2 linked regions of the Callithrix jacchus genome follow. The protein of the gene in region 1 purifies or fractionates together with the protein of each later gene. This does not show direct contact. Links are inferred from orthologs where the notes say so. Each region holds a gene or a part of one and is shown on either strand. Other genes may lie near its edges. The genes, in order: ATXN7 and USP22.

Evidence for each region.
Region 2: the proteins of ATXN7 (region 1) and USP22 purify together in Homo sapiens (affinity purification with western blotting; 7 studies listed by BioGRID and IntAct, with this or other methods). This does not show direct contact. The link is inferred for Callithrix jacchus from reciprocal best matches to the Homo sapiens genes ATXN7 and USP22.

What each region holds. Positions count from the first base shown.
Region 1 is NC_133516.1:45,686,443-45,690,808, reverse strand, and holds the start of ATXN7 (ataxin-7), read right to left. Parts: upstream 2,979-4,366; 5' UTR 2,909-2,978; exon of another isoform or gene 2,887-2,908; intron 2,489-2,886; 5' UTR 2,478-2,488; coding exon 2,159-2,477; intron 1,923-2,158; coding exon 1,854-1,922; intron 1-1,853. UniProt on the Homo sapiens protein: Acts as a component of the SAGA (aka STAGA) transcription coactivator-HAT complex. Mediates the interaction of SAGA complex with the CRX and is involved in CRX-dependent gene activation.
Region 2 is NC_133506.1:64,955,381-64,959,185, reverse strand, and holds part of USP22 (ubiquitin carboxyl-terminal hydrolase 22), read right to left. Parts: intron 3,660-3,805; coding exon 3,533-3,659; intron 2,657-3,532; coding exon 2,565-2,656; intron 359-2,564; coding exon 296-358; intron 1-295. UniProt on the Homo sapiens protein: Deubiquitinase that plays a role in several cellular processes including transcriptional regulation, cell cycle progression or innate immunity.

The sequences.
Region 1 (4,366 bases):
ACTCAGAAAATCCACAACACATCGCAAACAAATGAACAACTGACTGAATTTAAAACTTCAGTCTCGACTCAGAAACATGTAAGTTTCAAGTGGCCTGATAGCTATAGCATCCTCTAAATGGTTAGAGCAGCTTTAAAAGGCGGAGGAAGGGAACCCTTAAAAAACACTAACAAGATCCATGTCCCCTTTGTGCCTCAAGCAGGTAGTTTAAGGTCTTTGATCTTCGTGGAAAACCTGCTGATAAATGAATCCCCACAGAAAATAACATATATCAAAAATTAGGTACAGTCCCCTTAATCTTGTTGGATCCCTGTCCAGATCACAGCACCCAGTAAAACATTAATACACTTAACTCATCCTTTACAGCAGAATTATTGATAATTAGAATCTTGTTTTCACACAGATTTAGAAACCCTTTATGGGAAATGCATCCACACCCAGAGAATGAAGACTAAGAACAAGAGTGGGTCAGGTCCTCTAAAGCTATACTCCAACTGCTTCCTATGCGAGTTGCCACCTAGTGATTTTAATTTTTTAAGCCCAGGCAGGCTGCCAATTAAACACTAAAACCGGACTAGCAACTGATTTTTCCCATTGCAACATCATCAACAAATCCTGTGCTTTCCCTCGCTTTCCTTTACCGTCAAACAGCAATTCTCATTTTAAAAATCGACTGATTTGTTCTATAATCTGTTCCAACAGGAAGCTCTCATTAAGCTGTCACTGGTATTACTCTTCCTCCCAGTGCCAAGACGCCAACAAGCGGCCAATTCAAAAAAAACCTGAACAGAATTAAGTGAAGAAAAAGCCGGTGTGAAAAACAAGAAGGAAATGTGAAGACAGTAACAATAGGCAAACTAAGGACTTTTGGGCAAACAGTTGCCAAAGTTCTACCTATTCTTGGACCATAGACAAAAATTCTGCCAAATTAAATGGCTACAAGTAAGAGATAAAATTGTATTTGGGAACTATAAACTCAGTATTCCAAACCTCACTGAAAGCCTTGTCCTAAGTCACCTAAAAAATAACTTGAAACTGAACCCAAACTTCACTGGACTTCAGAATTCCTTTCTGACCATGGTGTGCCCAGGCCCAGTGCAGGTATTAGACAGCGAAAGCTGACCATTCAAAGAAATAGAAAATACCAAGGAAACGTCTGACAGTTTCCAGATACCTGGCCTGACCTTCATTTGGAGGCATACCCTTAGCTACAGCTATTTCTCTAGAGTATCTTTTTATCAGTTTAAAACTAACCAATAATTAGACCCTGATTTCACTAGCTACGGGTAGTAAAGGCTTGTTTTACAAAATAAAGTCCTGGCTTGCTTTCCACACTGATCTTGGCGGCTCACAAAAAATCTGACCAATTGCACTCTGGGTTACAAAGATCTTTTTGTAGCATCCTCAACTTGTACTTTAACTCCCACAGAAATAAGACTAAATAGGTAAAGCATCGTCTTTAAGTTCAAAATTCGCTTTGATTGCCAACAGAAGATATCTCCTAAGCATTTGTGGAAATGTTTAAAAGCTAAGAAATCCTTCATCCATTCGTGTTTCTCCATGAGGGGGTCAGAACCGCAGAGATCTAGGTTAAACTTCCCATCGGCTCCCAGCGCTCATCACCAAAACTGCTGCTCCTGCCTGGCCACAGGATTCCGGACGCTCCGTATTACAGGAGGCCCCCAAACCAGACTTTCCAAGCACTCTGCCCTCTCCCTCCCTCCTCTCCTCAGGCAGCATCATTACAGGCACGGGGAAAGTCGGTATCGTGGGCTGAAGTTCCCGGCCCGGGTGAAGGGTCCAGGAAACTTCCCCGGGGGTTGCACAAACTCCATCAGGGGGGCTGGACTCACCTTCCCGACAGAGCCCCATGACTTCGCGGTTTTTCCCAAACTCCTTGAAACTTTCGTCCAATTCTGTCCCTAGGAGATATACACACACAGGAGGAGGGGAGAGGCAGGTCAGTGGCTGGGAGTGTGACGCACGCTCACGCACGCACAGGGTAGGTGTGGGCACCTCCGCGTTCCGCAACCCAGCGAACGATAGCATCTCGGCCCCTCGAGGGGGCGGGTCACAGGACGGGGGCGAGGGGGAGGTGAGGTGGGGGAAGGGGTCGTGGGGTGGGGAGTGAAGAAGGGAAGAGGGCGTGGACACTCACCGTCCTTTCCAGGAAGTTTGGAAGCCTCAACCCACAGATTCCACGACTGTCCCAGCATTACTTCAGGACTGGGCAGGGGCCTGCGCTCCCCGACCGTCGCCATTGCGGCAGCCGAGGTGGAGGCGGCGCCGGGCCCGCCGTCCTCCGGCCGTGGACGCCGCGGCGGCGGCGGCGGCGGCGGCGAATGCTGCCGCTGGGGCTGCGAAGGCTGTTGCTGCTGCTGCTGCTGCCGCCGAGCGGCCGCAGCCGCTGCTCCGCCCGCCGCCGCCGCCGCGCGGCGCGGCTCCCCCCTGACGTCATCCGCGGCCCGCTCCGACATTCTTTCCGCTCCTACAATGTAACAAAAAAAAGGGGGGAAAGAGTCGCGCGGGGGAAGCTTTTTAAGGAGGCGCCGGGGAGTTCCGGCGGCGTGCGTGGCCCGCGGACCGGGTGGGGCGCGCTGACAGCGCCCCCAGGCCGCCCAACCCCCTGAGCCCGCCTCCTCGCGGCCACCCCCAGCCCCGGGCGCAAAGTCCGCAGAGCGGACTAGCTTTCGCTTTCGACTCTTGCGGTCCCTGGAGGGAGAGTACTGGCGGCCCGCGGCCCGCGGCCCGCCACCGCGACGCTGGGTCCCCTGCTTGCCTCTGCCCAGGGGACCCGGCGCAGAGGCCGGCACCGGAGCGGAGGCCGGCGCCAGAGCGGCCCCACGCCCCACCACAGCAGCCCGCGTGGGGAAGCCCGAGCCGCACCCCAGGTCCTCCAGCTGCCCACCCGGCGGCTGCTCGCATCCCCGGGCCTGGCCCGGCTGCCCCGCTCCTTCCTTCCGTCCGCCCGTCAGTCCGAGCTGCGGCGCCCGGCCGGCTCCCTTAAGCGGAGGCGCCTCCCGCCGCCTCCTCCCACTTGCCGGTCCCTCCCTCTCAGCTCGCTCTAGCGAAGTTTGCACGTCAAGCCCCCGGAGTGCAGCCAGGGCGAAGTCGGAAATGCAACCACCTATGGAGGAGTTGGCCGGCTGGCCCCAGGGCAGCGTGGGAGAGGCTGGTGCAGGGGGCACTTTGCCCTCGGCTTGGGGACCGCCGCGCAGTTGTCAAAAGCATGAATGGGAAGCCGCCGCCAAGCAGACGCTGGGCACGCAGGGAACCCTGGGCTGGTAACGAAGTGCCGCCCAGGTGTCAGGACGAAGTACCCCGTGCGCGCCACGCTGCCCACACGTGTGCCCCCGACCCGCAACTGGAAGTCACAATTGTGCGCCCGGGGAACTTGAACTCATCCAGCAAAGAGAGACCATGAGATCAGTGTGAGAGGAAATGGAGGAGTGAAACAAACCGAGAAGAGGTGTAATTCGTCTACATGTTTTAGAGGCACCACCCCAATTTTGGGGCTTCCATTGGTCCTGGAAGTGATTTATTCACCCCCAAAATAAAAATCTGATTCATTTTTAACTCGAGTTATTAGTCCTTCCCTCTTTCTGCTTGTCTTTTCTTGGGCAGGATGAGACACCAGGGATTAGTGGAATATAAGGAATTGCTACAAAACATGTTTAGAAAATACTGTTTTTGGTCAAATTTTGTTCAGTAAATTAAACACTGGCCCACAAAACGTAGCACCCCTCCCCAACACACACAACATTTGCTTAGTGATAGGCTACAGATGGGAAAATAAAAGGCAACTTAATGACCTAAAGCATTCAAAATAATTGAAACAGTACCAGACCACACCACTTTCAATAAGTGTTGATATTATTACTATTACATGAAATTGATGTGAAAATTTGAAGCCTGAGATAAAAACAATGATTCTGGCTTCCTTAGGAAGCCAGACCGGAGATTCCCGGGCAGAACAGCACCATCAGTCTTAACGCCACTGTTTTAGACGCAGTGGGTTGCTCAGATTCCGGCACTGGGAAGCAATAAATTGGATGTCCACTCAGAAACCTAATTAGAAAGGCGATAACTGCAAAGAGGACAGATGGATAAATTTATAACGAAGGGAAGAAACCAGCTTAAAAAGGCTGAGAATACCCAAAATCAGAACACCTCTCCGTCTAGAGGGGATTACAGTTCCTCATCAGCAACCGAACAAGGCCTGATGGAGAAGGACTGTTCCATTAACAGAAGTAGGCTTCAGAAGGTGGATGATAAGAAACTTCTGGGAGTTAAAAGGAACTTGTTCTAACCCAATGTAAAGAAACTAAGAACTTTGAAAAAAGGTTTGACAAAATGCTAACAAGAA
Region 2 (3,805 bases), on another chromosome or scaffold:
GAACATCCTACTAGCCTTTCATTCTTTCTACAACCTCAAGGCTAGAAGAATGGACACCGAGCTTTCCAGATGGAACCTTCCTCCAGCCAGAGGCCAGGAGTGGAGCTGGACTCCTCCAACAGGAGGGAGCATTTGTGGCACCGCATAAAATGGCCTTTCCTAGTGGGGCTGTGGGCAGCCAGGCAGGAAGCAGGTGGGTGGCAGAAGATCTGCTGGATGCCCTACAAGCAGACAGGAGCCCACCCCAGCTCTTGGCCAGAGGCCCTGGACACCCACACCACTGAGCACCACTTACTTGTTGTCGTTGTTGAGACTGTCTGTGGGCTGCTGGTACTGTCCGTTCATCCTACTCTCTTTGCTGTAACAAACAACGGCAGGATTCAGCATCATTAAAATCATCAGGCCCAGAGACACAAGGCTCTCATGAAACCAACACTTATCCAGGTCTGACTGTGCAGACGCAACGCTGGGGTGCACTTCATGCTTCGTGGAGAAATCTCCCCACATTTCGTGAGGACACTGACACTTGAGTTGTCAAGTCCCCTGCCTGAGAGCACACCCGGGTCCTGGGGCCATCTGGCCTGACCCCTGATTCTTCCAAGGTGGGTCCTGAATGGGCCTGGTGATGGGAGCTGGATCTGGATGAATGTGAATTTGGTTTGTGACACAGCAGGTGGTGAAGCTCTTCCTCCCACACATAAAGGGTTAGCTTGAAAAGCTGAATCCATTCCACAACCTAGGCAGCTGCCTCCTCAAAAGGGACAAAGATTGCCGCTCATTATTTCAAGACCGGCACCTCTCCTGGCGAGACGGGGGAGGGGCGGCTGGAAACAGGAAGCATGCGCACTATTTACTGCATTTTCCCACAGTGTGTTTGGCAGGAAACACCCAAGATCTCTGAGACTCTGACCTCAGCAACAGCACTGCCACGCCCTCAGTACGTGACCATCGTGGTCAGACTGATAATATGGAGCTCTGACTCTGGTGGTCTTGTTTTATTTGGGAGATCATCTGTGTGCCACAGGGGTGGAACAGCAAAGAGGAAGGACACCAGGGGCCAGGCAGAGTGGTTCACGCCTGTAATCCCAGCACTTTGGGAGGCCAAGGCAGGAGGATCACGAGATGAGGAGTTCAAGACCAGCCTGGCCAATATGATGAAACCCCGTCTCTACTAAAAAATAACAAAAATTAGCTGAGCGTGGTGGGGCGCACCTGCAACCCCCATTGTTTGGGAGTCTGAGGCAGGAAAATTGCTTGAACCAGCGAGGCAGAGGTTGCAGTGAGCCGAGATTGTGCCACTGCACTCCAGCCTGGGTGACAGAGTGCGACTCTGTCTCAAAGAAAAAAAAAAAAACCCCACCAAAAAAACACCAGGAACAGGCCGATTACCAAAAGGCAACATGCTTTCCAAGGTGCTGGGGCTGGGGCTGGGGCTGTGGCGGCCAAAAAAATAACACCCTGCAAATAACGACATCCAAGTCTCAACCCTCAGAACCTGATTCTGGAACCTCATCTGTGAAACCAGTCTTTGCAGAGACTCAAAGCAAGGATGTCGAGATGACATCCTCCTGGATTTGCCTGAGCCCTAAATCCAACAACCTGTCATGACGGAGAAGCACAGGGAGACTGGCCAGACTCAGGGGAACCAGCCCTGTGACCAGGAAGCCATGAGAGTGGCGCGGCCACAGAGGGAACATGTGGAAGCACCGGCAGCTGGAGGCGGTGAGGAGTGAAATCCCCCAGACCCAAGTAGGAATGTGAGGCCCTGCCCACCTTGATTTCAGATTTCCCACCTCTAGAACTGTGAGGAAATTAATTTTAATCCACCAAGTTTTCGGTCATTTGTCACTGAGCCATGAGAAACTCCTATGTGTCTCATGCATTGAACAGCATGGTATTCTGGAGGGTTAAATTCAAAGTGCCCCATAATATGCAGATTTGAAAAGGAAAATGCAGTCTACAACTGCAAAACCAACTGTGCCTGTCTGTACTTCAACCTCTGTTTCAGGAAGTAAAGCGTTACCTTCTCACTATGATCCACCTTGAGGAATCTGCCAGTTTGAAAGTGGTTTGAGAATTGTCAGAGAAACATTCAAAGCAAAAACAGGGTATCTGACAAAGAACAACTCATTAATGTGTACCATATCTTAAGATTAGGATAAATAGGTTTTGGGAGGGTGGGGTTTCTATTAATATAAACAATCATCTTTTCTTTTCCCCCAGAGCCGGAGTCTCGCTCTGTCAACAGGTTGGAGTGCAGTGGTGCGATCTTGACTCACTGCAACCTCCGCCTCCCAGGTTCTAGCTGGGACCACAGGCGCACGCCACCACGCCCAGCTAATTTTTGTATTTTTAGTAGAGACGGGGTTTCACCATGTTGGCCCAGATGGTCTCGATCTCTTGATCTCGTGATCCACCTGCCTCGGCCTCCCAAAGTGCTGGGATTCCAGGCGTGAGCCACCTCGCCCGGCCAACAGGCATCTGACAGCAGTTCCAAGCAGGATTCCTGTCCTGATAGGATGACAGACCCTCCGGACACAGAATGGGCCAACACCCCCACCTACCTGGAGGCCATGAAAGGGGTCATGTCCAGCTCTAGGGGGAAGGAGACATACGTGGTGATCTTCCTCCGCAGCTTGGCTGAATGTTCAAATCGCTGCAGAAATAGGAAAGGGGCAGAGGGAAGAGGAAAGACGACCAGAAACATTACTGGAAGCTTCAGGGGCTTCTTGTGATGACAGGTGTCTGTGTTATCGCTTTGTATTTTATTGAATTGCCTTATGGCTACATCTAGAATTAGATTAAAAAACAATAGTAATCCATACAAGACTTCATTTACAGAGTTCAAGTGAAGCCTTCAAATGATCGGCTTGTTCAGTACCCAGAGTACAAAAAATAATCTCGCAGCAAATCCAGCAGAGCACAGAAAACAAAACAAAGATCCACAACCCATGGCAGCAAAAACAAACCAACTGTTCCCTTCACCGAACAGACAGTCCTCTGCCTAGATCAGGAGTTACCCATTCTAGCCAACAAGCTAGGAATGGGTGCCTTCCATGTTTAAAGGGTATAAAATGAAACAAAGAGCATGCAACAGAGAATCGTATGCTCGCACGCAGCCTGTGCAGCCTGACAGCTTCACTATCTGGGCCTTTAGACAAACAGCTGGCCAACTCCTGGAGCAGATCTGAATTCTGAGGGCCTTTGTCTTCAAATAAAAGAACAACAGAAAACCTGAGGAGGGAGGAGCTAGAGGAATTTGGGTGGAAAAACTTCACAAGGCTCTGCTCCCCAAGAAAAGTTAACTCACATCCTACTTTCATTGTGAAGCCACTGATTCTGTTTACCGCAGCACAGACAAAAGGACAATTCCCAGACAGAAGGACAATTCACGAGCGTCCTCCATTCCTCAGTGTTCTTGCTGGCTTGCTGCAATAAAACATGTAACTGCACAGCAAACCAAAAGGCTGAGGGCCGCACTGTGGATTGGAAATTGAGCCTGCCACTCGAGTTGGCTTTCTGGAAAACTCACTTTGAGATGAAAACAGGCTACAATGGGCAGTTTCTTCATGGTGAGCTGCTTCGTGGACTCCTGGTAGCTGTGGCACCCACTACACTTGATCTTGGCACTGCTGCCCAAGTGCTCTGGTCTGGTGAATCTGCAGATTCAAAAGAGTTGGTAGCTTAGGTAAGGGAAATGTAAGAGACAGAAAAGAGGAAAAGGTATTTTATCTCTTTCAACGGGTTGATTTCCCAACCAAAAGCATATACAATACAACTAAAAATGAAACAATGAAAAAGAGAG